4 linked regions of the Schizosaccharomyces pombe genome follow. The gene in region 3 interacts genetically with the main gene of each other region. Each region holds a gene or a part of one and is shown on either strand. Other genes may lie near its edges.

Region 1 (8,454 bases), on a different chromosome or scaffold from region 3:
TTAATCGCATCGTCTACCATTGACTAGTTTCCTTTTTTTTTGAAGTAGTTTTGAGTTTTCAAGTTCTTCGTTGTAAGTGATAAATTTTTTAAACATTGAAAAATGTTCGTGCGTTTTGCTATTTAGCAGCTCAAGGTATTGGAATTTTGTTCCTGACAACCGAGGGTTACGCTTTTGTATGATTATTGTTTGATGCAAAACGCATTTGTTATTTCATTGAAACCCTAACCAAATTCTTAGATGTCTGCAGTTGATAAAAGAGCAAAATTCGAATCTGCTTTGCCAGTTTTTGTTGATGAAATCGTCAATTATCTCAAAACTATCAATATTCCTGACGATGTCACAGAATGGTACAAGAATGTATGTGAGTGTAGAGTTACAATATTTTCCAATGTCAATGAATGTTTCTAAAACATTGATCTCTTAAAAAAAAAGTGTTATACTTTGCGCTGTTTTTATTGCATCGGCATCGTGTCATATCATCTGTATTTTAATTAGATCACATCAATTTTTTATTTCTTTTTGGGAACCTCGAATAACACATGACTAACTGCTGTTTTTGTAGAGTCTTTTCCATAACACATTAGGTGGAAAGTATAATCGTGGATTATCTGTTATTGACAGTTATGAAATTCTTCTTGGACATCCTTTGGACGAAGCAGCGTACATGAAAGCAGCTGTTTTGGGATGGATGGTCGAGTTGCTTCAATCTTTTTTCCTTATTGCTGATGACATTATGGATGCTTCCAAGACTAGAAGGGGTCAACCATGTTGGTATTTAATGCCTGGCGTTGGTAATATTGCTATTAATGACGCGTTTATGGTAGAATCTGCTATTTACTTTCTTTTGAAAAAGCATTTTCGTCAAGAGTCATGCTACGTTGATCTAATTGAACTTTTCCACGACGTAACTTTTCAAACGGAATTAGGGCAGCAACTCGATTTACTTACTGCTCCCGAAGACTCCGTCGATCTTTCGAAGTTTTCTCTTCAAAAGCATTCTTTCATTGTAATTTACAAGACTGCATTTTATTCCTTTTATTTGCCTGTCGCATTGGCAATGCATCTCGCTGGTGTAGCTACTCCTGAGAACTTGAAATGCGCCCAAGACATCCTTATTATCCTTGGTAAATACTTCCAAGTTCAAGATGATTATTTAGATTGCTATGGTGATCCTACGGTAACTGGTAAAATTGGGACTGATATTTTAGACAACAAATGTTCTTGGATTATCAATCTTGCTCTCGCAAAGTGTACTCCTGAACAACGTGTTATTTTGGACGACAATTATGGACGTAAAGATAGCGAAAGCGAAAAGAGAGTTAAAGCTGTTTTTGAGGAACTCAATATCCGTGGTGAATTCGAGAACTATGAGGAATCAGAAGTTTCTGAAATCAAAAAGCTAATTGATGGAGTTGATGAATCAACCGGTTTGAAAAAATCCATATTTACCACTTTCTTAGGAAAGATTTACAAAAGAAATAAGTAAATTTCTTGTTCTATGTTTTTATTCGACTCAAATTGGCAATTGCGCTGTAGATACTTTTTAGAGAATACATCCATTGTTGACAATACCAACTTTTAATATTGAATCATTGTATTGGTAAAGGACCTGCAAAATACTACATAACTTATATCATTAAAAATCCAGTTCTCATGAGGCGTATTAAAATATGTAACAAAAGGTGGTAATACGACTCCAAAATGAATCTTGACACTAGTATATAAAATGCGGTGTATAAAAGATAGCAAAAACAAAATGAATCCCAATTGGCGTTTACGCGTATAAACAGGGAATTTCTAAAGATTACAAATTAAATAAACTTTATTCTCTGCCGCGACCAAATAGTTGTAACATATATAAACATATTCCTTACGAAGGAATTATCTTAAATAATCAGTGGGTTTGTTTTCCGCCGCTAATGCCTCAATCTGACACCATTGCTGTTTTCTAATAATCATAACTTCTTCTTGCTTTATAATGGCCTGTTTATAATCCTCAACAAGTCCATTAAAAAAGTCCGCATCCATATCGACAAAAATTTGTAAAACATTACAAGCAATAGCTTGTATAGTGCTATTCCAATGCTCATTAGCAGTTTTGTAAAGAGAAGGATATATTATAGGGAGAAGGGTTACTACGTTTTGGCTGACAAGACTTGTGAAGTACTCATTGCTCCACAGACATAAGGCACGTTCGGCGACCTGGAAATGCATACTAGATATTGAGCGAGCTAGTTGCTGAAATAAAGGGGACATTATATTAACAAATTCGGAAGGCTCCAAAACTTCAAAGATATCTTCAATTTCATTCAAAAACAGTAATTCTTTAAAGCTGTTTATTCGTGGCCAGTACTTAAGAATGCCAGTCAAGACTGCCTTCGTTAAAGAAGGATCTTTATCGATAAACTGAACAATGCAATACGTAAGTTGGGGATGGTATAAAAAAACAGATTTAGTTTGATGTAAAGGAATAAGCACTTTGGACAAAAATATTTTATGTTCTTCTTTTAAAGGTACAGCAAATCCATTAATAATACTAATAAGTTAGTTTGTAAATCAATTTAGGAACTATAACCATTAATGAAACATACCTTCCAAGTATCTCCAGTAGTTCAGCGATTCCATGAAATTTTTCTCGTTCATAAATGAATTGCAAAAAAACATTATTCATAGACTTTCTAATGTATGACCTAAGGTTCAGAAATTTTCCGTAAATCCTATGTAATGTTGTTTTCAGAAGTTCGCGCTCACGCGGGTCTTCTGTGTCAAATAGTGCTAGCAAGCGATTAAAAAACCTACGATCAACGAGCGATTTTGCTTTACTGGCTCTAAAGTCAGGAGATTCTAGGAACTTAATAAATAATAAATACACCTCTTCCAAGTGAGGCCACGCTGGCTCCAAAAAAGGCTCATCGTCTAAAGCAAACATATCTGATGAATAATCATTAAGAGCAGGTGATATAGGCCGAAATACATTGAGGGAAAACTATAGTGATTAGATTTTTACAGTAATAAAAAGCAGAGGAGTAAACATACTGTATTGACAACATAAGGAAAAAGCGATGCGGAAGAAATACCGCGGTTTTCAGACACATAATCTATCATTTGTAATAAGGCTTCTCTTTTTATTTCTTTGCTAGCCAAATCGGAAGATGGATCATTAAAATCGAAAATAATATTGCATTGTTCAAGCTTCTTTATAAACAGTTCTTCACGTTCAGAGGTATGAACATCTAATTATATTAGCACAAGAATAAAAAAAAGTACATTATTAAAATAAGATATAAGAATCTTACTAAACGTACCATCAAATGAAGGCAACCGAACTAATGTTCTTTTCTCAGATACTTGAAATTGAGAGGAGTGTTCGCGTCGAGGTACTGGTCTAAGACTATGCGGAATGTCAACATTCTCAGCACCTGCTAAAAATTTATTTAAGGGAGTTGGCTGTGAAACTAAATAAGGAGGAGTGGATTGTGGGACAGATAAAAATGAGGCAGAAGATATGGAATCATTAGGAAATTCGTCTATGTTAGACGATACAGAATCCTACAAGTAAGTTAGTATGAAAATAATCATTTTGGTAGAAAATATTAAACTAACCGACGTATACTTACATTTTTTGGTTCTGGATAATTAGGTGGGAAATGGTTGGCGTCTTTAACTTTAGAAGTTTCAATTACGGGCAAAAACGTAGAGTAATCAGAATCCTCATGTCCAGATGCTAGAACCGTCGTATGTATTTTTTTATCAGAATTTTCATGTTTTTCATTATTTGAGTTGGCATGATGATTTCGTTTGTGCTTTAAAGTATCTTTTAGGAAATGACTCTTAAGTTTTTTAAGCTCGTGTTTTGAAGAATGGTGAGTGTCTGTGTGCTTCACGTCGTCAGTTTCCACGTAAGACCCATTTTTAGAGATATAGTGGCTTTTTGAATGACCATTTTTATGTGACCCTTGTTCATCCTTCAACGAAAGTGCTTTTACAAATTTACTCCTTAATCCTTTCATTAAAAGGCAAATGAGATGATTTCCTTGCTCAATTGCAAGTTATAAAGATAGCGAATAACCAAATTTAAAAAACGAATGATTCCTAGGATTGGGACCGAATGTAATTTCGAAACTTAAATGAATGCACCTATTACTGAATATGTAAACGTTGTCTTTCTTCAAAAGAACGTCTGTTAATAAATTTGTACACAATGATGAGTTAGAAAAGGGTAAATTTATGTGGTGGGTAAATAAATGATTTGTTCCTTTCAAGTACTCCGTAAATATGTCTCGGCAAGTCAAAGAGTTAACGGCAACAACCTCGGTAACAGAATTCTGAGCCCCTTTATAAGATGGGTATATAAGCTAAACACCCTAGGGAATAGTTAAGAGGGTTAACCTTGAAACTTCCTGTAATGACAACTTTACTATGAGTTATGTTTGGCAAATGAAGCAAAACGGGGCGAGTGGCTCGAATGTTATGGGACGCTACCGAAGGCTGGTAGTATGAAATAACGTACTTGGGAAATTGGCTGGTACTGTGAATTAACGGATCGGCAAAAATCTTGTGTTATGATGTTACTGTATTGTTGTACGATGTCCGAGGTTTGGAACAACATTATTTTAGCTGCCAAAAAATTAAAATGCTTTTGAAGCAATGATATTGATGTGTATCAATTAATTTTTCATTTGAGGAATAAGTTATCCAGATTATTAATTAAATTACTTTAAAAGCAAATATATATAAAGTCTTTGCCCTACTTTTTCCAGTGTTTTATAGCATACCATATTAGGCATATATCTTATGAATAGTCTAAAAATTTCTGACAATGAATATGCACTCATTGAGCATCCGGGCTTTGCTAATAACAAGGATGCATTTTTTCAGACATTAGGCGGTGTTCAATCAATTCAAAAGGTAAATTGCTAAAAAAGTATAGGAATGACCGGCTTACATCTTTAAGCTTCCCCTTTTATAAAACATGAATTTGATAATCTTTTTTGACCTAATACTAACAATTTCTAGGCATGTCAAACTTCATTTCAAAACCCAAAACAAGCTCTGTTGGAGTTGAATCTAAGGCCTAAAGATAAATACCATCATCCAGTACAAGCTCGAGTGCAATCCAGAAATGACCTATTAGTAACGATTAAAAAAATGGACAACTCTGTGCAAAATGTCAGTAGAATTCGTCAAGTTTTCTTATTCAGAGATATGGCTGATTTCCAGTATAGTACTCAAAATTCACCATTCGTTCAAAAATTAGATTCCACTCTGCGAGTGCTTGACTATAACGCCATTAATAAGTTTTCCATCGATCTAACTCCGGTACAAAGAAAACATGTCGACATGCCTCCTCCTCCTGTTTTCTCTCAGACAAGTCTACCCATGTCTTATAACTTCTTGCAAAATCCACTAGTAGGTCGAGTTCGGCTACCTAATGGGAAAACTACAATAGTCAATCTAAAAGGTCAATGCAGAGTTTGGATTATCACTACAAATATGGGGGTTGAAAGTGTACCTACATGTAGACACTCAAAATTAGGTGAGCCTTCGAAGACAATTCAGGAAGTTATAGAAGCTTTAAAACCTCTTTTTGAAAAACGACCCGTTTGGACGAGAAGAGCCTTATTAAATCATCTAGACCCGTCATATACTCACTATTTGAAATTTGCTCTTCCTTACCTTTCTTATTTATGGACTTCAGGTCCATTTAGAGATACATATACGCGGTTTGGATACGATCCTAGAAAAGATTCTAATGCAGCTGCTTACCAAGCTTTGTTCTTTAAACTCAAGCTAAATGGAAAACATAAAGGGACTAAAACTCACGTGTTTGATGGCAAGACTTTGTTTCCCACTAATCGTGTTTATCAAGTGTGCGATATCGTAGATCCCACAATTGCACCACTACTGAAAGATACTCAGTTACGTTCTGAATGTCATCGGGACACAGGATGGTATAGAAGCGGTCGTTACTATAAGGTTAGAGATCTTATGCGTGAAAAACTCTTTGCGCTGATCGAAGGAGAAATGCCTTCTGAAGTCGCGGTGAATATGATTTTAAACGCCGAAGAGGTAGAGGAATCTGACAGATATTCGAATTTTGATGAACAGGATAATACAGATTTAAATGATACTGTTAGAGGTTTGAATACTTCAGCAACAGATGATCGGATAAATGATTTAATGAGGAATTTAATGAAGAGAAGTCAAGAACATGAAGGCTTTGAGGATTTAGAGGAAATTGATGATGACTACGATGATATATTTGGTGATTGAACCCCCCCCCATGTCAAGGTACTTCGATACAAAAAATTATACTCAACTTAAATTTCATTATATTCTTTTTTGTTTAACTGACCATGGTAAATGGCTTGTAAAACATAACTTATGAGTAGGTTTCAACTATCAATTGTTTCTGATCTTTAATTCTCATTTTTTAATTCTGAAGTAGCTCGCTTGATTTTGTGGTTACAAATGTCAATAATTTTATCAGATGTTTAATCTTACAGCTGCTTAGTGGTGCGCTAGTCGATTGCCCCCGGATGAACCAAACAATAATACTACGCTGCATAGCGCAATTTAAAGTACATATTTTTTCCTGACTTGTTAGTACATAAACTGAGCCAACCTATTTGGCGAGGTTGTAATTGTATCTCCATTCTACTATTTCAATAGTACTTTTGGAGTTTGTATCATTTTAGACGAAAATGTTGGTTTATTATGGTGGATCTGCCTTGAGCGTTCAGAGTAAAAAAAAAATTTTGGAACTAACAGTTTCTGGAGTTTCTGATCTAAATGCTGTTTATTTCTACTTGATCTATACTAAGTCCAATTCTTCTTTAAATTGCGAAAGTCTGCGACCAATTTTGTCTGATTTGCAAGAATCTGAATTCAAGCCTGATGGAACAACGATGGTATATGTGTTTCCACGTCCAGGAACAATTTCTCCTTGGTCATCCAAAGCAACGAACATTGCCAATGTTTGTGGATATAAAGATGTGATTCGTATAGAGAGAGGTATTGCCTATTCAGTAGTTTTTAAAGATGACATTTCAGAAGAGATGCTTAAATCTGCTTTGAATCATCTTTATGATCGCATGACTGAAGCTTTAAGATTTAAACTTCCGGAAGAGGATGAAGTTTTTGATAAGCACGAACCAGCTCCACTTGTGAGAATAGAGCTTAACTGTGGGCAAGGTGGTGACAAGCAGGCTGCAACCGAGCGATTGAATCATGCCAATAAGAAGTTTGGATTAGCTTTGGCACCTGATGAAATTGATTATTTGGTTGAGTGCTATACCTCAGAGCCTAGTTTAAAGAGTCGTGAGCCTACAGACGTCGAACTTTTCATGTTTGGTCAAGTTAACTCAGAGCACTGTCGTCATAAAATTTTCAATGCTGATTGGACTATTGATGGCGAAAAGAAAGACTACAGTCTATTTAAAATGATTAGAAATACCCATTTAAAAAATCCCCAATATACAATTTCTGCTTATTCTGACAACGCCGCTGTCTTTGAGGGAAATTCGGGAACGTTGTTTGCTCCAGTCAATGGTATCTGGTCAATGAAGGATGAACCGGTTGAGTTTCTTGGTAAAGTTGAAACACACAATCATCCTACCGCTGTTTCTCCTTTTCCTGGTGCCGCTACCGGATCAGGTGGCGAAATTCGTGATGAAGGAGCTGTCGGGCAAGGCTCTTTATCCAAAGCGGGACTTGCCGGTTATAGCGTTTCAGACTTAAACATTCCTGGTTACAAGCAACCTTGGGAGTTGGATGTTGGAAAACCTTATCACATTGCTACTTCTCTTGATATTATGCTTGAGGCTCCAATTGGCAGTTCGGCTTTCAATAATGAATTTGGACGTCCTTGTATCAATGGCTATTTCCGCACATTTTGTATGGAAGTTCCACGCGGCGATGGAACTCTTGAGATACGTGGTTATCATAAGCCAATTATGGCCGCTGGTGGTATTGGCCGTATTCGCAAGCAGCATGCTTTCAAAAAAAGTATTGCACCTGGTAGTCCTATTATTGTTCTAGGAGGTCCTGCTTTATTAGTTGGTTTGGGTGGAGGAGCAGCATCCAGTATGAATGCTGGTGAAGGCTCTGAGGAACTAGATTTTGCATCTGTTCAACGTGGTAACCCTGAAATGCAGCGTCGTGCCCAAATGGTTATTGATGCTTGTACAACTATGGACGAGAATATAATTCAGTCAATTCACGATGTCGGTGCTGGTGGTGTATCCAATGCTTTGCCAGAATTGGTTCATGATGCTGGTTTGGGTGCCCGGTTTGAATTACGCGATATCCCTTGTATTGAACCTAGTATGTCCCCTATGCAAATTTGGTGTTGTGAGTCGCAAGAGCGTTACGTTTTATCAGTTAAATCAGAAGACCTGGATACTTTTAAATCCATTTGTGAAAGAGAACGATGCCCTTATGGAGTTGTTG
Region 2 (6,992 bases), on a different chromosome or scaffold from region 3:
ATTTTGTGAAAGAGATATTCAAAGTGTCCAACAATTCACTTAGCATGTAAGGTGCACGTTCAAAGGCGGCAAGCATACTCGCTCGTGTGTCGGTAGTATCACCATGTACGTAAAACATGGCAAGTGCTGACGAATATAACATATTTGGCGTGTCCGAAATTTTGTTTGAATTTTCCAGGTAATTCGCAAAATCAATTATCCAAGCAAATTCTCTTCGACGAAGTGCATATATATCAATACAAGTACCAATTGCGTAGGGGTCTGACATGTCGAACTGCAGTAAAGCTTTACAAAACTCAAAGACGGTTCTCCAACAACCCCGGCTTTGTAGACTTTGTAAATATCTCCAAATACAGAGGAAAAGACGCCGATTAGAAGGGATGGCAAAAGGAAGCCGCGTGGCACCAGTTGCAAGATTAAATCTAGGATGAAGAATACTGTCGAAAGCATAAAGACCGCGGGCAACAAGCTCTGCTGACAGTTCATGATCGCCCTGCTGATCTATTATTTCAGAAACTTGTAATAACGTGTCTATATGAAAAGGATGGGAGCGTAAAAGCATAAGTAGGTTATTAGGGTCATAGGTTTGCACGTAATACTCGAATGTCTCTTGAACTTCCTGGTAAGCACGACTCTGAGTGATTTCAAAAAAGCACTCTAAGTCTTGTGACTGACCGGTAAGTTTCATTCCAAGTCCAGATCTTACTAAAGGAGGCCATCCTTCTTGAGGCTGTACTAAAACATGGCGTTTCCTCCGCAGGTTATCATGTCGAGCGTTGACCGAACGTTTCTCAACGATGCGGCCAAAAATCTTACGTATTTCAAGATCAGGATTTAACATACTAATATTTACACCCAATAACTTATTCAATTTTTCATCAAGTTCTTTATCTAACGGGATAGTAGCAGATTCTTCGACACCAGCAACATGCTCAACCTGATCTTGCTCACGATATTTAAGTTTTAATTCAGCAGCAGCCTTTTCTATTTCATCAATATCATCATCAATGTTTTTGCTTGATTCAAGTCCCTCCAATTTCTCATTATCAGAAGATTGATTATCTAAATCACGCTTTCCAGTGACTTTCTTCTTCTTCTGCTGCTTTTTCTTTTTCTTTTTATTTTTTGCTTTCTTATTTGTAGAGACAATTGGAGACTCGCCTTCTACTAATGGTTCATCCTGCTCTTCCTCAGAAACACTTTTTTCTGCCTCTGAGTTAATAGCATTATTTTCTTTTTCGAGAATTTCGAACACGTTTACTACTTTTTTCCCGGAAGTTGAAGAAAACTCGTCATCCTCATCAGATTCACTGTCTAAAGCTTCTTCCAATAGCTCGGTTTGTCTTTGACGCTGAAGTTTCCGTAAAGCTCGTGAAGACATGAGAATGGTTTGTGGTAGACTAGAATGGCAGATGTAAGAATTTAACTCAGACCTATGAAAACACACCTCAATTTCAAGAACTTTTCGGTATGCTAAATTAATATATAACATACAGAAAATATTTCATTTTAAGACTGTTAGCAGTGAAGAATATTACGTTTCGTAGTTAAAAGGCGTTAAGGAAAATACAAGCCGGGAGCAACAATGATGTACAGAATATGTAATTAAAATCTAAGTAATAGAATTTTGCAATTGTGGGGTGGTAAACCGTTTTTACATATTTGTGGTTCATGGTTTATTGGAATTTTTGCTGATCGCAATAGGTTATCAGCCAAATGAAAATTAGAGGGGTTATTAATACAAAAAACTGTTAATGCAAATTTAGTATTAAAGTGAGAATAACGACCGTGTTACCTTTTTGTATGCCTATATTACCAGAATATATTATAAAGTAGTAAATAAATCAAATTAGTATTACCAGAGAAAGGAAAACATATTACTTTTTTAACATACGCCAATAATTCTTTTCTTCTTCTCCGGTAATTAGCTCAGCAATCAGGAATGGACGGCTAGATCCCTTTTTCCTATGTGCCCGAATATCATCATGACTGTTTTGTTTCCTTTCTTGTGTACGAAACGCGTTGATACACGTCTCAGCATGAAGCGGTGTTTTCCAACGTATTATCGCCTCTGTTTCGTCCTTCCTATAGTCTATATACATGGGCTCACATGCAATATTCTGAGTTTGCCGCGAAAAAACATAACTCAAGAGGCTGTGAATAGTAGATTTATTAGTTAAAGGATGGAGGTTCTTGATACGGGTCAAAAGATTCTTGGTAAAATCCAAATTATCTTCATCTTTATCAGTTTGTGAGGTTTTGGATACAGACTTGGTCATTTGTTTTTCTACTTTAGTAAGTTTGGGATAACGATTTTCAGGAAAGGAATTGGATGAATTTGAAACGTCTGAAGATGACGCTTTTACTAAATGGAGTTGATTTTCAAAATATTTTTCTTCACGATTTGTCCATTCTTTACGAGTCAACAGTACCCATCCAGGAGGGACAGGCAACTTGCTAAGTGCTGATTGATCAACCTTTTTGTACAAAATTACAAAAGCATAACCTTCAGGAGTACCGATAGCATCAACATAGGGAAGGAACTCTTTGAGGTATTTGCGAAGTTTCCCAGCCAAAAGTAAACTTTTATTAGACAGAGTAGCCGGAACTGGTTCAACGTAAATAATTCTATCATACAGTGGTATGTCAAGAGGAAGAACAATATTCTCATTTCTAATAACCATGTGTGAGGAATTATCGAAATGAAACAGCGCATTAGTAACATAAGATAAAGCATACTTCAAGTTATTTTGCGTTGGATTCGGGCGGATTCCTTTCCAGAAATCATCTTGCTGGATTAAAAAGGCCAAGTGCACTTTTTCTTTTTGCCTTTCTCGGTGAAAATAAATTTCTAATATAGAATCAACGGCTGATAAAAAGTCAGGATTTAACGGTTCAATAAGCTGTCTATCTTGTTGATTTAACATGAGTCCTCCGCTTATGGAATGACTTGGTTCTTTGCTGGCTTCATTATGTTTGTAATGCTCATCTTTCAATTTGTTGTTATTTCCATCTGCAATAGAATTATTTTCCTTCCCTGTAAATGCTTTAATTTTGCGAACATTCAGTTGCCTTGGCACAAACATTTTACTTCGCTCCTTAAAGTACGGTTTTCTAGTATCAATTAAAGTGAAGTCATTAATAATAAATAGAATTAGGTGCTCTTAATTAAAAAAAAAAGGGTTGTAAATTTTTGTTCTGCTTTCTCCCAATTTATGTTGAATGCGTAGGTGAAGAATAACTCGCGCTTGCCCAGCACCCACGACCTTGTCTTTCCAATTGTGGTTTTTAGACAAAAGCCCTTGGAAAGATGTCCAAAAGAAAGGAATTTGATGAAGATGCACCTGTAGACCCATCCGTAAGCCTTGAATTTACGATTTTTTATAAGGGCCTACTTTCTAACCAATGTCAGGATTTACTGGAGTTTATTAACTTGGGAGCCGGAAATGAAGTTGGTCGCAGTTGCCATGTTATTCAATACAAAGGGAAAACAGTAATGGTATTTTAATTTTTATTTTGTTATGATTGTGAATGCTAATTTTTGCTAGCTCGATGCCGGTGTTCACCCTGCGTATACTGGGCTTTCAGCTCTTCCTTTTTTTGATGAGTTTGATTTGAGCACTGTAGATGTACTTTTAATTAGCCAGTAAGTCCCTTTTGTACCACTACTTGAGACGACCATAGGTTATTAGATTAGAGTACTTCTTGTACCAATTACTATTATGGTCCCTTAGGCATTGATTCATTTTTTTTTGAAAAGTATTTCTAACTTAAGCAAGCTTCCATTTGGATCATGTAGCCTCGCTTCCCTATGTTATGCAAAAGACGAACTTTAGAGGTCGTGTCTTCATGACTCATCCTACAAAGGCAGTTTGCAAGTGGCTTTTATCTGACTACGTGAAAGTGAGGTATGTATTCTTAGCTCTGAGTATTCATTAACAACTCGCAGTAATGTAGGCATGGAAGATCAGCTTTACGATGAGAAAGATTTGTTAGCCGCTTTTGATAGAATCGAGGCTGTTGACTACCATTCAACTATAGAAGTTGAGGGTATAAAGTTTACACCCTATCATGCGGGCCATGTTTTGGGTGCCTGTATGTATTTTGTGGAAATGGCTGGAGTCAATATTTTATTTACAGGCGACTACTCACGAGAAGAAGATCGCCATTTGCATGTCGCTGAGGTTCCTCCTAAAAGACCAGATGTGCTGATCACAGAATCCACGTATGGTACAGCATCTCACCAACCAAGACTGGAGAAGGAGGCTAGACTGTTAAATATTATTCATTCCACTATTCGCAATGGAGGGAGAGTTTTGATGCCTGTCTTTGCTCTTGGAAGAGCTCAGGAGTTATTACTCATTCTCGATGAATATTGGAATAATCATCTCGATCTTCGCTCAGTCCCTATCTATTATGCATCATCGCTAGCGAGAAAGTGTATGGCCATTTTTCAAACTTATGTTAACATGATGAATGATAATATTCGAAAAATTTTTGCCGAACGAAATCCGTTCATCTTTCGTTTTGTCAAAAGTCTAAGAAATTTAGAAAAATTCGATGATATTGGCCCTTCTGTAATATTGGCAAGTCCTGGTATGCTACAAAATGGTGTTTCAAGAACCCTCTTAGAAAGATGGGCTCCTGACCCTCGAAATACGTTACTTCTTACTGGTTATTCTGTTGAAGGGACAATGGCAAAGCAAATTACAAATGAGCCTATTGAAATTGTGTCACTTTCAGGCCAAAAGATTCCTAGAAGAATGGCAGTGGAGGAACTTTCTTTTGCGGCTCATGTTGATTATCTTCAAAACAGTGAATTCATTGACCTGGTAAATGCCGATCACATTGTATGTTTAGTTACTAATGTAACGTTAAAATTAACTAATTATAGATTTTGGTGCATGGTGAGCAAACAAATATGGGTCGATTAAAAAGTGCTCTAGCCAGCAAATTTCACAATAGAAAAGTCGATGTCAAAGTATATACCCCTCGAAATTGCGTACCGTTATATCTTCCTTTCAAAGGGGAACGGTTAGTGAGAGCTTTGGGAAAGGTCGCTGTTCATAAACCAAAAGAAGGCGACATTATGAGTGGAATTTTAATTCAAAAGGATGCCAATTATAAATTGATGTCAGCTGAAGATCTTCGAGATTTCAGTGACCTTACTACCACCGTTTTAACCCAAAAACAAGTCATTCCATTTTTTTCGAGTATGGAGCTTGCAAATTTCCATTTAAAACAAATGTTTGGATATGTCAAACAGTCAAAAACAAAGGCAGGACAACCTCAATATACAGTAATGGACGCCATTACTTTGACTTTAATCCAAGAACATAAGCTTGCTCTTGAATGGGTTGGCAACATTATGAATGATACAATAGCTGATTCAGTAATTACTATTCTACTAGGCATTGAAAGCAGTCCTGCTTCTGTCAAGTGTAAGTCTGCGTTTAATGTGGAACAATTTCTAACCATTAATAGTGACGAGCCATAAATGTAACCATTTGCATTCGCATTTAGATAAGCCTCCAAAAGTATCAAAGGAGGAAGATCGTATTAAAAAGCTGATGATGTTTTTGGACAACCAATTTGGCGAAAGTATGACTAAAACGGAAAAGGGGGTTGAAATCAAATTTGAAAAATATGAAGCGTCTATTGATTTTTCGACTATGAAAGTTGAATGTTCAAATGAAGCGTTACGATCTAGAGTCGTACATGTTTTATCCCGTGCGATCAATACTATCCTTCCATTTTCTGAAGCTTCACAAAACGACGTCTCCGAAGATGATTTTGAAAATGAAGAATCTGACGATGATAAAATCTTTGAGCAGCAAACGAAAATAGAAGATGATGTTAAAAATGAAAATAAGACAGAACCAGTTGAAGAACAGAAAAGCGAAGAAAAGAATGAACAGCCCAACCTTAAGAAAGAAGAACTTTCTTGAAAATTATTTACGAACGAATCTTTGCCTTTCATAGCCATGACACTTTTATGGCTACCTTCATTTTTTGCTATTTAAGTCTCAGTAGTTATCATGCACTCTGGTATTTCTGTTAAAAAATGCTGTTTCTTAGTCATGCGTGATCGAATCTTTAATTTATTCTTGCCATTTACGTCAAAGACAAACAATTTAATAGCCATTCCAAAAAAATTGACTAGTACTTAAAAAAATGCTATAACTATTTAGATTTTTGTAAGGAAAACTTTTTTTGTAGCTATTATGAACTCCAAAGACACTACCAATCGGGTTAATTAAGCAAATTTTTGTACCGACTACCAACACCAACACCACAATGTCCAGCAATAAGCTGCCCACCTCTAAGTATGACTTGTCCACCTATTGGGGACGTGTTCGTGTATGTTATATTACTCTTTGTATTTATGCTAATGCGGCAGCACGCTATGGATATTACTGATCCAAGGTAATTATAATTTAACTACATGATCGTTTGAGCACCTAACATCTGTAGGACACTTCTCTCTACATCTCAAGATTTAAATAGCGCCGTCAAAACTCTGGAAGACTATGGAGCGGGTAAAATTGCACAATTAGATGAAACGGTTTGGCATGCAAAGAAAAGTATGTAGTTATACGATACAAATCCGATCAAATGTTATATTATTTGATTAGTTATTTTTTTTGTTATTAAATATATTTTCAAATTAAAAAAAAAAACATATTAACGATTTTAGTTGTTGATTCAACTTTGCATCCCGATACTAAGGAACCTGTTTTCTTACCATTCCGAATGTCATGCTTTGTCTTGGTAAGATAATACTATTTAGTGACTAAATGCTAATCATTAGACTAATTTGGTCGTCACAGCAGGTATGCTGCAACCAAACCTTGGTACCGCTGGAACCGTTTTTTGGCAGTGGATGAATCAATCTGTAAATGTAGCTTTTAATTCTGCAAATGCAAATAAATCTACGCAATTGACTCTTCCGCAGATGACTAAATCCTATATTTATGCTGTTAGTGCAAGTT
Region 3 (6,989 bases):
GAGATAGGCATAAAGCTTGGGAGAGTTGAATTGCAAACATGGTCGCAAAGTTGCTTGAGGAAGCTCATTGGTGAAAGCATGGAAAGATAAATAGGCGTAAAACAAACAATCGAGAGATGTTGGCTTTTCACCGAATATAAATTTTGAATCTGAAATCAGGGACTCAAGCGAACCATATACCTGCCGAGCTAATGACGAAATTCTTATACGACGAGCTTGCGTGCGCAGTAGAGCTTGCCTATGTCTAGTAGCATTAGTCCATTTATGAGAAATAGGCATCCTTGATGCTTCATAAGAGACTTCTTCGTCGCGAATACCAAGTGTTTGAGCCAAGCGTTCTTTTGCTTGCCGTTGCAAAGCATTGGGTGTCAAATAATTATGAGGAAATTTAAGTGCCTTTGACCAAGCAGGTCTTATTGCTTCAACAAAATTTTCCTCATTAACAAAGGCTTCTAATAACCAAAGGTCATTGACGGAACCTTCCAATAAACTGGTGAAGGCCATAACATTGGCCAGCTGTTTCGCATCAAAATTATCCAAATTATAGCCCTTCTGTTTCAAGTATATTAAAATGTTTTTCAAAGATCCAATCCAAACATGACCATCCCACAAAGCTGGTAGCTTATGGGTAGGGCTCATACCTGAATTTGCAGTGCGAAGAATTTCAATTTCGTCCTTTGGGACGGCAAGTGCGCAATAAATTAATGCCGCTAAGCATCCAGGATCCATCGTTGGTTGCCCAAGTCCTGGGCTATAAATGAAAAGTTGCAACATTTTGATCAAAAAATGACCCGAACGAATGAATTGAAAAAGTTACCGTCTACAGTAGGGTTGAGATTAGAGAAACACAGAAGAAAGAAAAAAAAGGTAATAACTAACCAACTAGTCCAACTTACCAAATTCGCTGAAGCTAGTTACAATTATCATTCTGATGCTATGCAGTCAAGTAAGCTATACGAACAAGTAACATTGTTACCTATTTATTAGTTGTTAAAAAGTGAATTAAACATCGATAATTAGCACAATAAATCGATTGAGCATTTGAACTTTGAGATTTTACTTAGTATATTTGTATGGCGCTTCTGCTGTATCTGCAGCGTAAAACCCATCTAAAATGAGACTTTGTTTATGCATCCATAGTATAGAAGAATATACAATCTCACAAAAGCTTCACTTGTGATAATCCTTTTTGCACAATGAGTACATATTTAATTATTAAGAAGTATAAGTGTGCTAAAGACTATTCTAAATCCAAACATAACGAACTATTCCTCTATCGAAAATTCAAGTCAATTTATTTCTTATATAAGACAGTATAAATCTTGTATATATATAATTGTACGTATGAATACACATGTAAGCTTTCCCAGTTACCGTCAATGCAAGTCACTCTTTGCTTTCTAGTTAGACATAAACTTTGCGTCAAAGAGTTGATGACGGACTAGCAACAATAATTAGCAAGATATAAAATAGTTCACTCTATTCCAAAAGTTGTAAAATTAGACCCAAGTGGTTTGTTTACTTGCGCTTTGAAACAGATTCGGTGGAAACAGTTTCTACACTCTGAGTAGTAGCAGACTCGGATTCCAATTTAGCCTTTTCAGCTAATTCTTGCTCCCTCATATCTTCAGCGTATTCGCGCTGCTGGATACTTTGAACATGATATCCGAAAACGTATCCAAGTTGAATAAGAATGACACCAGCAAGAAGAAATTCAACAAGAACATGAGAAGCAGCAAGAACGGACAAGTGCATATTTCGTGGGAATTGAACATAATTCTGTAGCTTAACAACCAACATAGAAGGAGCAACATTAACAATAAACAAAATTAGTGCAGTAAGATAAAGAAGCGTGCTAGAGTAAAAGAACAATTTGTCATCACCTTTAGCGCCAGTGGCTTGAATAAGATGGAAAATCATATTAAGTCCCATGATGGTATATACAGTATATTTTACAATGAAATGGGATCCAGCCACCAAAGTATAGTAAGTTTCAGCAGCATCGAAAGCAGACTCAGGGCCAGGACTCCATAAGGTATTCACATCGGCAACGCTCTAAATGACATTAGTAATTTATGCTAAGAAAATAAAGACTATGAACAAAGTAATCAATTCGAAGTGAAGCTCCAAAAACATAAGAACAACAGAAAAATGAGCAGCGCGGCAAACATTGAGCGGTAAGATGAATGCTCGTATCCGATTATGAAAACTTAAACAGACAAAAAGCTCCTTTTTAGAAACGTTCCTGATAAAATAATTTTCCAGATTTATTTTAACAATGCATGTTTTGTAAAACAAATTCAGAATTCACTCAAAGTACCGACTTATAATTTCTCATATTCTGCTCCCTTTGTCTCCAAAAGCTAAACGAAATTGATATCAAATGAAAGTTGATTTTCAAATGAATAATCTTAGAATAAAATAGAAATTTGATTGGAACATACGCTGTGGAAAAGTAAAGCAAAAATAAAACTAGTTGACATAAGGACTCCATAACGGGCAGCGACCTTCAAGCCCTTTTCATCAGCAAAACGAAATATGGATCTTTTAGCCATCTTGAATAATGATAATAAACTTTTTTTTTGTTAATGAAAATATACGTTAGTGGTAGGTTAATTAAGACTACCTTTTTATACCAAAGTGATACCACTCCGCTTTCGACGGTCTAAAGGATTGTATGAGTATAAGGAAATCGAACGCATTTTCCACTAATATGCATTGTATGCAGAAAAACATCATGAACGGCTATCTAAATCTCACGAATAAGAAAAATCAACCCAAGATAAATCAGTTGGCAAAATTATTTAATATAAAATATAACCAGATATATTTGAGCGACTATTGTATGTCACTATTTATTGTAACTGAATACACAACATCATAGCGTTTTCAAGTTAAGCGAGACTGTAAAGCTTATATCAAAATAAGGGAATTTATTAATTGGCTGTAAATAAAACAAATGAATGCCAATGCCTCGATATGTAAAAATACTAATAAAACTACAGAAACAATATAGAAGAACATACAAAGATCCTTTGTATACTTGAAAAAAAGAAATAATTTCATAAATGAGGTGTTTTTGTCTTCCTAACTATATGTTTCGTCAGTTTTCACAATGGTCGCAAAATCTGTTTCTAAAATGCTCAATTGTTTATTATCCTAGTTCCCTATTAGTAAATTTTTTTCATTTCTAATTCTAAAAACTTTTACCTGAGTTTAAACAAACAATTGAACAATATCCGATCGATTTGTTTATCTAATAGCGCATCGCGTAAAATATTTTAGCGTCTTTAAGAAAACATAAATATCTCTTATCTACAAATAACAGAAAATTACATCAACCTTATAAAATATAAAGCATTCCAGAAAACACACTATTCTCCTTTCACACCTAAACTGGTCTTGCATTCATTTGGTCTCGAAGTTATATCTCATATACATATTTGCAGTCCACTCTGCAAAAAACAAATAATACAAAAAGGGTATACGAGTTGTTAAAGAAAAAGGTCCCTGCTTGCTTTACATACTTGGCCGTGTTAATTAATTCAATATGGTGTCGATTTACGTTCCCTTGATATATATTACCATTTTAATGGGCTCTATGTATGGAGTTTCTCGTTTTGTGCGAAAATCCAAAAATCAGGAATCAAAACCAGTATCAGAAGAATGGTTTGGAGAAAATTATTCTAGAAATATATTTTTCAGTCTTTTGCAGCAGAATCCACCTGCCGAGGATACACTTTTGAAAGCTGCTCTCGTTTTACGGGCTACAGAAGGTCTTCGTCGATTGATGAAGCTTAAAGTATCGAGAATGGCATTGAATAATTTGCTCAACCGCGGCGGCGTTGGTGACGAGCTAATTCGTAAGTTTGGTCGTTTGGAAAAGGAAACTGAATTGGAGTTGATGGATATTGCCAAAACTGCCAATTCATTGCAGCCTGGATGGAATCAGTTTATATTCCAAACTTGCAATGAAATAATTGAAAACGAAAAAATTCACAGCATAATTGATAATATTCCCAAGGACATTGATTCTATTTCGCAACGTTGGCAAACCGAAAAAATTCTGTATGAAGCCGCTGATGAGGAATTGCGTATTCAAGCCCAAAAAGAACTTGGAGTGCTATAAATTGTTTTAAAAAAAGATGTTCGTATGTGCCTTTATTCTTTTTTTCCTGTTTCTTTCTTGCATCTGATGTTTTACGTTTTCTTATCTTTTTCTTTCTTTGAAACTAAAATTCCTATTTTATACAATAATCCTTAGAACTCATTCATAAATCAAATTCAGTAATAGACTCCATAAAGGGGGCTTGCTTTATCACTGTCCTTACCTTTATATTGAAAGTCATACTTTTTTCCTATTCATATTATCTATCATCCTATTCCTACTCCCTTTTTTTTCCAAACCAATAACAAAAATATGGAAAGAAAGAAGGAAAAAGAAAAAAGCACTATTTGAAAACAAGTTATTGGAATTCAAATGTATGTTCTGGCCAAAATGTCTCCGTTAAGAGCTCAGCCTTTATAAGTTGGTCTATAATTTACTCTTCATATTCTTTAATATACTCATTCTCTGTTCCATGAACTATCTTGCACAAAAAAAATTGTACATTACTTGTATGGTAATAATCTGGGTATTTATTTTTTTTATTTGCATGTAGATTGCTGCGTTAGTAAAGAGGAGAGTGGATCAAAATTTTTTTTTTTAAATAGAAATGACTGGTTACCAAAAACTTTGCTGTTGCTTCATTTAAAACGGACTTCAAAAATTATTTTTGTTGTTGTTTGTTGTACGCGTCAACAAGTTCCTTCTGCACATATTTTGGTGCTGGAAGATATTTGAGAAACTCCATGCTAAACTCACCCTTGCCTTTAGTCAAGGCTCGTATATCCGAGGAATAAGAAAACATGCTGTTCAAAGGGACCTCCGCCTGCAACGTAAACTCATCTTCGTCTGTATCGCTATCGACAATAGTCGCCTTACGCTTATCAAGATTACCAATTACACCACCTTGATGTTCAACAGGCGCCGTTATGCTTACGTTCATAATTGGTTCCAAAACCATTGGGTTCGCTTGCAAGAAAGCTGTACGGAAAGCAGAAATGGTGGCTAAACGAAATGCCAATTCAGAGGAATCAACGGGATGATAAGCACCATCTTCTAAAACGAACCTGCAATTTTTTATAGGATGACCAATGAGAAATCCTTTTTTCAATGCTTCGTAAAAAGCTTTTTCACAAGCTGGAATATACTGCGTAGGGACTGTTCCACCGGTAACTTTGTTGATAAATTCACAATCAACAACGTTTCCAGATTCGTCTTCCACACCATCCATGTATTCAATGTACCCTTCTACTTTTGCATATTGACCGGCTCCACCAGATTGTTTTTTGTGCAGGTAGCTGAAAGGTACCTTTTTGGAAAGAGTTTCCCGGAATGCAACTCTTGGTTTACCCGTTTCACAGTCAACCTTGTACTCACGACGCATACGTTCGACATAAACTTCCAAATGAAGTTCACCCATACCACTAATGATGGTTTCTTTCGATTCATTATCCAACTGCACACGAAAAGTGGGATCTTCACGCTGAAAGCGATTCAAAGCCTTAGAAAAACTGGTTGTATCTTTGCTCTTCGGTTTTAAAGAAAGTGAAATTACGGGTTCTGGTACAAACATTGAAGTCATAGTATACGATACGGAACCGTCCGTGAAGGTGTCTCCAGAAGCGCATTCGATACCAAATAACGCACAAATCCCTCCAGCTTCAACCTTTTCGATTTCTTCCATATCATTGGAATGCATACGAACGAGGCGTGAAACTTTTATTTTTTTTGTAGAATTGACATTGTAAATGTAATTACCCCGCTTGAGTGTACCTTGATAAATTCGCAAATAGGTGAGCTGGCCAAACCTTCCCTCCTCGAGTTTGAAAGCAAGAGCGACAAGCGGCTTCTCACTGCTAGGAACAAGGGATACTGGCTTTTCTGAGTCTGCTGCATTCAAAGCTATATTTTCGACCTCAGAAGGGTTGGGTAGGTAGTCGCAAACAGCATCCAAAACAGATTGAACTCCAACATTGGACAAGGCAGAACCCATTAATACAGGTGTAAACTTCCTTGCAAGTGTAGTTCTACGAATAGCTCCCATAAGCTGCTCAGGTGTAGGGTCTTCTTCCATTACGTATATATCAGCAATTTCTTCGTCTAAATCGGCAAGCTTTTCAATTAAAGCTGAGCGCTTTTCTTTTGCTAGTTCAATAAGATTCTCAGGAACCTGCTGAGAAATTTCGATTTTCTCACCCTTCGACCCACGATTATAAATTGCACGCATTTGTATAAGATCAACCACACCTTCAAGTTTGTCTTCTTGACCTATAGGAATTTGAACAGCTGCAGCGGGAATTTTCAATTTTGTGTTTATTTGCTGAATGACCTTCCACGGATCTGCACCCATACGATCCATTTTGTTAACAAAAGAGATCCTGGGGACATTGTAGCGGCGCATTTGTCGATCAACTGTGATAGTTTGCGATTGAACACCGGAGACAGCACAGAGTACCAACACTGCACCATCTAGCACACGTAAGGCACGCTCCACCTCAATGGTAAAATCAATGTGACCAGGTGTATCAATAATATTAATGTTATAACTTTTCTCAAAGTCAGTTTTTTGTTTTTCGTTAGCTTCAATCTGATCCACAGTACGTTCCCAAGTGCAATGGGTAGCAGCCGATTGAATGGTAATTCCTTTTTCCCGTTCAAGTTCCATGAAATCCATTTTTGCTCCGACATTATCCTTTCCTCTGACTTCATGAATGTCTTTTATCCTTCCTGTATAGTACAAAACTCTTTCAGTAAAGGTAGTCTTGCCGGAATCAATATGGGCAGATATTCCAATATTTCGAATTTGTTTAAGTCGCTTTTTATCGTTATCATTCAACTGTTCTTGGATATTCAAATTATTTTCTGATGTATTAGAAGCTTCAAT
Region 4 (7,993 bases), on a different chromosome or scaffold from region 3:
AATGATGCTTTTCATCGTGGTATTTATGCAGCAGTTGATACAAAAAAATAATTCTCAATCTTTAACATACTTTGATCATAAGCAATGCAGACAGCCAAAAGGGCGAAGCAAATTGTCCATTTCGAATATTCAATTTCGTATCCCAGCACCCGAATAACGTTTCGGGCTGCAGGAATCAAAGTCTCAGTTTGATTCATCTCCATCGTTTTAAAGGAAGGAGCACGATGAATGAATCAACAAATCCAACTCGTTGGGTATTGGTGAAGGAAAAGTCCTTGTCGGGCTATCGGTCTTATATAGAAAATTACCGACACGCAATTATACGCTCCGAAATGAGATAGATAAATCTGGTACGATGTGAATCTTACAATAAAGTAAAAAAAAAAGAAAAGAAAAATTTAAAGTTATGAAAACTAATACTATAATTTCAAAAGCTTTCTTACTGCAGTAATTAGAAAGGCTTACTAACACTCACTATTATATTGAAAAAACTCGTTACTGGGCAGTCATTTAAGATCAGCTGTTAAACTACCAATCATGAGATGTGCAATCATACATACTATATATAAGCATCGCTTAGCATATCTACACCAAACTTTGTTAAGTGATTGCATGAGAATGCAGTGAATGGTCCGTTATACGAGTAGAGTAGAAGAACATTGGAAGAATTGATAAAATAAAAGTATCATAGGAACGGGATTCGTAGTCCAAGCGATAATCGTATAAAAGGGGATAAAAAAATTTTAGCATGGATCACCAAAATAAATGGAAGATTTGGGACGTAAACTTTCAAAATATGTATCAGTAAATTAAACGACTCTGTCGTCCTCTTCATGCGTTCATAGTCTCTCGCAAAAGTCCATGTAGATAGATTATCGGAGTCAACATGCGATGATGAAAAGTTGAATTAGGCAAAAGAGAGGCTAAAAAGAGAGAAAGAAAGAGATGCAATCAATCTAAATTGCGCTAAAATGAGCATAAAAAGGAATTAATAAAGAACTTCCAATGAAGACAAAAATGGAAGGAAAATGTCCAATGAAGATTTTCAAGTAAATGTTTCATAAAGACGGAGATTCGGAGGGTGATGGGATATTCATGTTTTCATCAGGTTGAGCAAAAGAAGCTGACCACCATCTCAGCGATGAAGGATCAGGCATTATAACATCATCATAAGGTACATAGTTAGGATTCTTGAATTCATCCTTCCGAGAAAGGAAATAGTCCCAGATACAACGAGTATGAGTGCTGACGGATGCTTGAGCTCGTTCCCGTTCAGAGTTGTATAGGAACGAACCGTATTGGCAAGAGTAAAGATGGTAAAGTAGACGGCGTAAAAATCTCTCGTTAAACTCGAAACAATTAGGAAATTGATCCATAATTTGCCAGACGCAATCTAAAAACTGATGAAAGACCGGAGACATCATTTTTTCGGAATGGTCAATTGAGAAGCCACTTAAAGCAGAGCGTACTGTTGAAAAAGTGTATTGTAAAGTCGAACTTGGTGAAGATTGGGGTGGTTCTTCTGAGTATGAGCTGTCGATTGTAAAAATACGTTTACCAGGTAAATGACAACATCTTTCTGCAAACCTATGCCCGAAGGAAAGCCAATCCTTTTCGACGAGAGCAAAAAATCCCTCAATTGTTCTATAGTAAGGATCCAAACACAATTGAGGTAGAGCACATAACTGGGAAGTTCTGTCCCATCCATCTGAGCAATGTACAAGTACATGGGCATGCCTAAAATGAACTGTTTTAACAATAAGAACCGCTCCTTGTAAAATGTTAGCCAAGTGCTTAAGCCAACTTGATCTGTTTAAGAGTTCTATCAATGGAGGTGCCGCACTAATATCTGTATTTTTAAGAGCATTCACAATTTTATTTAAAGAATCCCTCATGACGTGTATGTTATCAATTCCAAGATATATCTTCTTTGCAAAACGGTAGTGATCCATGTTTTCGCTTCCAGCGCCTACGGCAATGTTAGCCATCGCATTAGTAGAAGGCCTCGCATCAACTATAAGATTTTCTTTTCCAGGAATGATTGATGTTGCGAATATAGCTTCAACAAGTTTTTCATCCTGTGCACTTCGATTTTGACGAATACCCACAAGGGGTTGAGAGGCCCGCGTAATTGAAAACTAAATAAATTAGTATTAAAGCCTCTCAAAGTTAGTAAAACTTACAGAATTTTTATGGAGATACGTAAGGGTAGGAAATCGATTTTTAGATCTATATTTGCATCCATAATATATAACACTGTCAGAAATGCTAGCGGGAACGGCTAGAGCTTGCGGATAAGAATGGCACTCAGAGTAATTTTCGTTAATTTTAGTTATCCTCCAATTTCCGCCAGCACCATCAGCTTGGGTGGAATCACCTACTCCCATGCGCCTATATTCATTTTCAAGTAGAAATGATTTCCAAGAAGATGGCAGTTTCTCTTCATCTCCGGAGGGCATATAGTAAAATGCGTATAGCATATTTATTGAATTAATAGACATCAATTCCTGTAAAGTGTCGTATACGTCCATCGCATCCTCCGTGCTTTGAAACCTCCAACAAAAGAACATAAAGTCTCGGCATTGTATACGTATACAAAATGATTTTTCGTTAGAGCAAAGCTTTACATTATTTATCATGGAATATGCCGTCCAAATTTCCTTCCCATTTTCCGAGATTGAAAAAATAGAATGATACGCTGTCAAATGCAATGTTCCGTTCAATTCGTTTCCTTTGTTCACAAACTTCACATTTCCGACCTATTTGTTAATATTTTGATAAAATTAAGTTTTAGATCTAATCGCATTATGCTTACTTTTGCAACTTTGATGTTTTCCATCACACGGAAACTTCTTTTTATAAGCAATTGAATAAAATGAAGCAACCCTCGTACTATCAAGTACTGTGACAAAATATGAGTACAAAGAATTAAATATGTGTTTAGCGCAGAATGTAATTGCGTTCTACTTAGATAGATGAAGGTTTTAAACTATTTACGGTGGTGCTGTCGATTAATGCTGCCAAGTGCATGGCTGTAATCATTGCGGTTATCAAGGCTACAACTTGACATATCATTACCTTGTTTATTAAACAATAGAAAGGACGATTCTGAAAGATGTAGAGGAGTTACACTTATCTTTGGTATATATATGTTTAATAAATTCAACTTTATTAATTTGTGTATCTGACAAAAAAAAACGAGTGCTTGATCAAATAACTCATAAAACCCTAAATATAAAAAAGATAATAAAATAACAATAAAAATAATTAAGTTACAGTTTCATTAACAATTATGCAGCGTAGTCTGCGTTTTCCACAGTCTCGAGTGTCAATAATCTTGTAGCTAGAGTGTCTTTGCCGAAAAACAAAGTGCGGTTCCTCCAATCTTGCGTGCAAGAATCGCAATACCTTTGCATCGAGGGTGGGTATAAATCAAATTCCCTTGCTTTGTCACATCCCAACAGCTCTTGTTGAATGTATTGATATACGGCATCCTCGTGAATTATATATTCGTAATAGTTTAGAGACGCCAAATTTTCCAATATTTTTTTTCTTTTTTCTGCAATATAATTCCGTTTTCGTAACCAGTGACTTTTTTGAGGAGAACTTTTTAAAGCAAATGATTGTAAACTGTAAAAAGATTAGAATAATAATAATAACAAAAAAAAGATAATATAATGTACATGTAATCAACATTTATAATTACATGGTACTACTAACAAACTTACCATTCACTTGGATAAGTGACGTTGGGGTGCAAATAAGTAGGAAGTCCGACTAATAAATCATCAACGTCCTTCATATAAACATAACGAGCAGAAGTTTCAATATTTTTAAACTCATCGAAAACTTGCCCGACAAATTTGTTATTCTGTCGCTCATCCCAGTACTTAGCTCCAAAACAAAACATGAGAGAAAGGTTCAAGATAACCGAACAAGCAAAAATAATAACCAAAAATGAGTGAGAAAATAAATATCTTAGGAAAATGTGGAAGACAGCCCACGGCAGCTTTAGTAGATCAATTGCCAATCCTTGAAGAAAAAGCCACCAATTATTGCGAATAATATCGATAATTGACAGGTTTTTCAATTCACAGTTAAAAGGTATTTTTCTTCGATAAACCATCGATTCATTGTAGTCGCCTACTCTTCCATATTGATTTATTATCGCAATAAGCGGCTGATTTCTTGCTCTTCTAGTTGCCTTTTCCAAAAAGTTGACTTCCGTTTTTATATACTTGATAGCCAGTTTTCTACATTCAGCCTCAATAACCTTTGATATAGCAAAAGGTTTAACGATCCATTCAAGGCCTACAGATATGAGCAATCTAGACTTCTCCCTTCTAAGGTGAGATATAGAAGTTTTTGTCACGATTTTAAAGTAATCTCTATAAGGCAAAGTCCAAGAGTGATGAAGCCATGTCATAATGTATAAATGATAATCATTGCGGACGTCCATTATTTGGCAATCCTCATAGTGGTAAGATTGACATTGACCTTCTTGGTCGTAATTATAAACCTTATAATTGATGTATCGACGACTCAAATTGGTTTTTGGATCTTTTCCCCATGGTAAAAATTCGACATCATCTACTCCATGAAGATTGTAAGCACCAGACAACACGGTGCTTCTATCACCAAAAACAATATGAAACAATGCCTTAGTAGAAACATTGTACACTCGATCAAATACAATATCGTCCAGATGATGAGAACGAACAACTTGGACTGTCTCTTTCGGAAGCATAGCAATCTTGAAGTCCCTGAGGTCTTCCATAAATGAATCATTACTCTCATTCTTATTGATCAAATTAGTTAGCGCTCTACTACTCCTTCCTCTTCGAATAAGGAGATCTTCTTGAGATGGCTGTACCCCATAAGACTTGAGAGCATTATCGTCACCACCCCTTTCAAAGCGTTTTACATCATCATTCAATCTTTTGATACATGACAACAGTTGTATTGAACTGTTTGGTTTATCGGCAATGTAATTGCACAGTAACACATTAAGTCGGTCAGTTAGAGCTTTCGAAGAATCGAGATAGAGACGGAACCTTACAGTCCCAATGTTCTGGATATTCATGTAAAAATAATCACATTTAGTACTAGCAAATTGTTTTACGTTTAAAATGCTAGAAATGGGGAAATGCTCAATGAGGACCAATCCATTGATGTTGTAATATATGTAAATCCCTTTCATAGTGCAATACATTCGACCAGGCATACGTATTTGATCCTCTCTTTTACTACAAACACGGCATACAAATAAAACGGTAGATGCTTCCGATTCACCAAATATACCTCTAAATTCAGCATTCCTCAACTTAAGCTCAGAAGGAAGTTTTTCAATGTGAATTTCTCTAGCTAAACGTTTATAAGAAGGATTTGATAGATCTTCAATGTACACGTTCTGACGCTCTAAAACATGGCCGTAATTGACTGAACCCCAAAAATTTGCCAGTAAGGCGCAAGGAGAATTACCATGAAAAAAGGCTTCCTGGTCCAAAAGGCTGGTTATCGTTTCGTGAGTCAAATTTGTTATCAGTGGTGCATTGACTAGGGTCCATGGAGCAAGCGGATTAAGGAATTTAGCGCCATTTATGGAATTTGAAAGATACTTTGGAGGAGGAACAGTTGAAATTGTGGGAGATCGCATTATAGTTGAAACTTCATAATTGTTTGGACCACATAACAATCGTCCCGAATAAGTACGACGAGGACGATAATTTTTTCCTATTTTCCCCGTAGAGTTTGAGCGCCCATTGACTTGTGGATTTATAATTGATGTAGCTTTAGCAGAAAACGATGGTAAGGTAGGAGACAAGATTCGGTTAGCAGATATCCCGGAATTGATACAGTGTTCTCGAGCGTTATTTATTACGCTGCCCCATTCAAGCATTTCCATGTGAGTTTCGGCTTGCAGAATGTAGCTCACGGACTTCGTTTTTATTTGAAAACAAAATTTCCGATGATTGCTTGGTAAAACAGAAAACTTACACAGAAGGACTCCGATTTTTTCGCTCTCAAAAACACCACCATTGGCATCATTAATAAGATATCCGACATAGCCATTGTCGACAAAAAACCAGTATTTTCTCCAAATTGCTTTGTTATCTGCCTTGCTAGAACTGATATTTCTTAGTAACCACCCTTGACGTTTAGTTGCGTTTGTTTGACATATTTGCTGGGGATCGAAACGATATGCGTCTAAATTAGTTGGTGGCTGTACTCTCTTAAGAATTTCCTTCTCAATTCTATCAAAAACGTTAGATACTATTCTTTTTAGTGAAGGATAAGATTCCTTAAGTTTAGTTTCGTAAGAGAGTAAGCGAATTAGTTGATCATTTATATGCCTATTGGACTCGTGCAGACGATCAGTCAAACGAAACGTTTCAATTGAAAACTTGCAAATGCTTTCAATAACTATGAAATCAATGGATGAGCGAAAGGAGGTAACTCGAACTACGTATTGTAGAGCAACTGTAAAATAACTTTTACGAGCTTCGTATAAAGATTTTGCTTCATCCCGCATTTGCGATAAATCTTTTGAATGTCCAAGAGAAGAATACCTTAAGACTTCCGCATCATACTTGGCTTGCTCGGCTTTAAAGCGATCATTTAATTGAAGCAAAGGCTTAACTTTTGAATCTCGAAATAGATCTAATGGAGCAACAATAAATTTCCGTAAATTTTTAGCTTGTTGAAGTTGCACCATATATGACGACCGAAATAAGTCTTGACCGTGAAGCAAAGCGGTTGTTGCATAATCAGGATCAAAAAATCCTGAAGCAACATTAGAAGGCATAGCATTCAACGACATACTGGCGACAATGGGCTCTATCGCCATTATTGACTCGATAAACTTGTTGCAGCAACATAAGAAATCATGAGACCATTCGTTAAACGCTTTGATTTGATTCCCTAGATAATACATGCTCGCCCTAAAAGACGGAGAATCAATGCTACATTCGTTCAGTAAGACTGGAATAACATGATCCTTTTTTGAAGACGCATTTGCAGGAGCGGCCATGATTTTTCATTTCCTTCTATTAGTTTCCAAAAACTTCAATTCATATAAGAAAGCATTAAGAACGATATGTCCACTCGTCTAAAGGATGATTTTTAAACCGGTATATGCGCTTTCGGCTGTCGGATGCGGCATGTTTGTAGCGGCGTACTTGATGTTTTTGACTTAAGAGTGACGCTGCATTTTTTAACCAAGATGAAGCAATTCGTTATATTAGAATAACGATATTTAAGTACTTCTATTATAAGGTAAACAAATACGAAATAACTGAGTGTTAGAAATTTAATCACAAGGAAAATGTTTCAGCTAGCTAAGGAATTTTTACTTAAAATATATAAGTGAAATGATTCCATCCTTATACATATCATAAATATAAATACATTTACTATTAGAAAAATAAAAGTGCTTTTAATTTTTCGTTTTCTTCTTTTTTAAGTAAAATTTACTAAGAATGAGTTAGCCTTATTACAAAAATTGTGGCACTAATTTGTGAGCATAGTATCTTAATTTATACTTGATGTTTGCACTTAATCTTTTTTAAGTCATTATAAAACAATATACAAATTGAGCACGATCAATAACTGTAATGGTCAGGTTTGGTTGTACTTCAATTGGTATGTAAACAAAATATTTGGTAAAGTGGTTAAATAAATTTTATGAACAGTTAGGAATTATGTATATAGTAAAACAAAAGCATCTCTAAAATTATAAAAAATACCTAGATTTTTCTGTTGTGGGTAAATTACTTGTTACTTTTTTTATTGCCACATCTGGTTGCTATTTGCTTTCAAAATTAATTTTTAAAAAAAAAATTATTATAATGAGTAAAGGGTGCAACCTAGAAACATGTTCAGCTGAGCTTGTTAAAAATATTTGTTATGTTTATAATTTTGAAGTAGTGTATCTTAAGCACTTGCGATAGCGAACTAAATTTTTCTAAATCATTGACATTAGAAATAAAAAAAT

What was found.
Region 1: mutations in shr3 (region 3) and par2 together harm fitness less than expected from each alone (positive genetic interaction), as found in Schizosaccharomyces pombe (one large-scale study listed by BioGRID).
Region 2: mutations in shr3 (region 3) and pof8 together harm fitness more than expected from each alone (negative genetic interaction), as found in Schizosaccharomyces pombe (one large-scale study listed by BioGRID).
Region 4: mutations in shr3 (region 3) and ymr1 together harm fitness more than expected from each alone (negative genetic interaction), as found in Schizosaccharomyces pombe (one large-scale study listed by BioGRID).

The regions. Positions count from the first base shown.
Region 1 is NC_003424.3:1,331,487-1,339,940, reverse strand, and holds par2 (serine/threonine protein phosphatase PP2A regulatory subunit B-56 Par2), read right to left. Parts: upstream 4,439-8,454; 5' UTR 4,014-4,438; coding exon 3,621-4,013; intron 3,553-3,620; coding exon 3,309-3,552; intron 3,237-3,308; coding exon 3,040-3,236; intron 2,990-3,039; coding exon 2,595-2,989; intron 2,540-2,594; coding exon 1,885-2,539; 3' UTR 1,539-1,884; downstream 1-1,538. Other genes in the region: geranyltranstransferase Fps1, read left to right, coding at 241-360, 566-1,489; transcription factor TFIIIC subunit Sfc1, read left to right, coding at 4,798-4,911, 5,020-6,276; phosphoribosylformylglycinamidine synthase Ade3, read left to right, coding at 6,708-8,454. UniProt on the Schizosaccharomyces pombe protein: The B regulatory subunit might modulate substrate selectivity and catalytic activity, and might also direct the localization of the catalytic enzyme to a particular subcellular compartment. Has a role in cell shape control and septum formation.
Region 2 is NC_003424.3:3,619,963-3,626,954, reverse strand, and holds pof8 (LARP7 family RNA-binding protein Pof8/Lar7), read right to left. Parts: upstream 3,233-6,992; 5' UTR 3,087-3,232; coding exon 1,878-3,086; 3' UTR 1,584-1,877; downstream 1-1,583. Other genes in the region: protein Rqc1, read right to left, coding at 1-1,381; cleavage and polyadenylation specificity factor complex endoribonuclease subunit Ysh1, read left to right, coding at 3,311-3,358, 3,413-3,499, 3,549-3,646, 3,780-3,908, 3,950-4,850, 4,895-5,441, 5,485-5,948; sideroflexin Fsf1, read left to right, coding at 6,298-6,360, 6,401-6,426, 6,475-6,584, 6,698-6,771, 6,812-6,992. UniProt on the Schizosaccharomyces pombe protein: RNA-binding protein required for assembly of the holoenzyme telomerase ribonucleoprotein (RNP) complex. Specifically binds telomerase RNA ter1 and promotes assembly of ter1 with catalytic subunit trt1.
Region 3 is NC_003423.3:1,173,311-1,180,299, forward strand, and holds shr3 (chaperone protein Shr3), read right to left. Parts: upstream 2,604-6,989; 5' UTR 2,556-2,603; coding exon 2,445-2,555; intron 2,056-2,444; coding exon 1,519-2,055; 3' UTR 1,170-1,518; downstream 1-1,169. Other genes in the region: mtx1 (metaxin 1), read right to left, coding at 1-774; translocation subcomplex subunit Sec66, read left to right, coding at 3,551-4,129; mef1 (mitochondrial translation elongation factor G), read right to left, coding at 4,770-6,989. UniProt on the Schizosaccharomyces pombe protein: Involved in amino acid permease processing and required for the efficient translocation of structurally related amino acid permeases from the endoplasmic reticulum to the plasma membrane.
Region 4 is NC_003424.3:2,481,908-2,489,900, forward strand, and holds ymr1 (myotubularin family phosphatidylinositol-3-phosphatase), read right to left. Parts: upstream 3,010-7,993; 5' UTR 2,840-3,009; coding exon 2,816-2,839; intron 2,760-2,815; coding exon 2,184-2,759; intron 2,139-2,183; coding exon 1,059-2,138; 3' UTR 501-1,058; downstream 1-500. Other genes in the region: C-22 sterol desaturase Erg5, read right to left, coding at 71-203; ltc2 (BAR and PH domain-containing protein), read right to left, coding at 3,291-3,630, 3,729-7,030.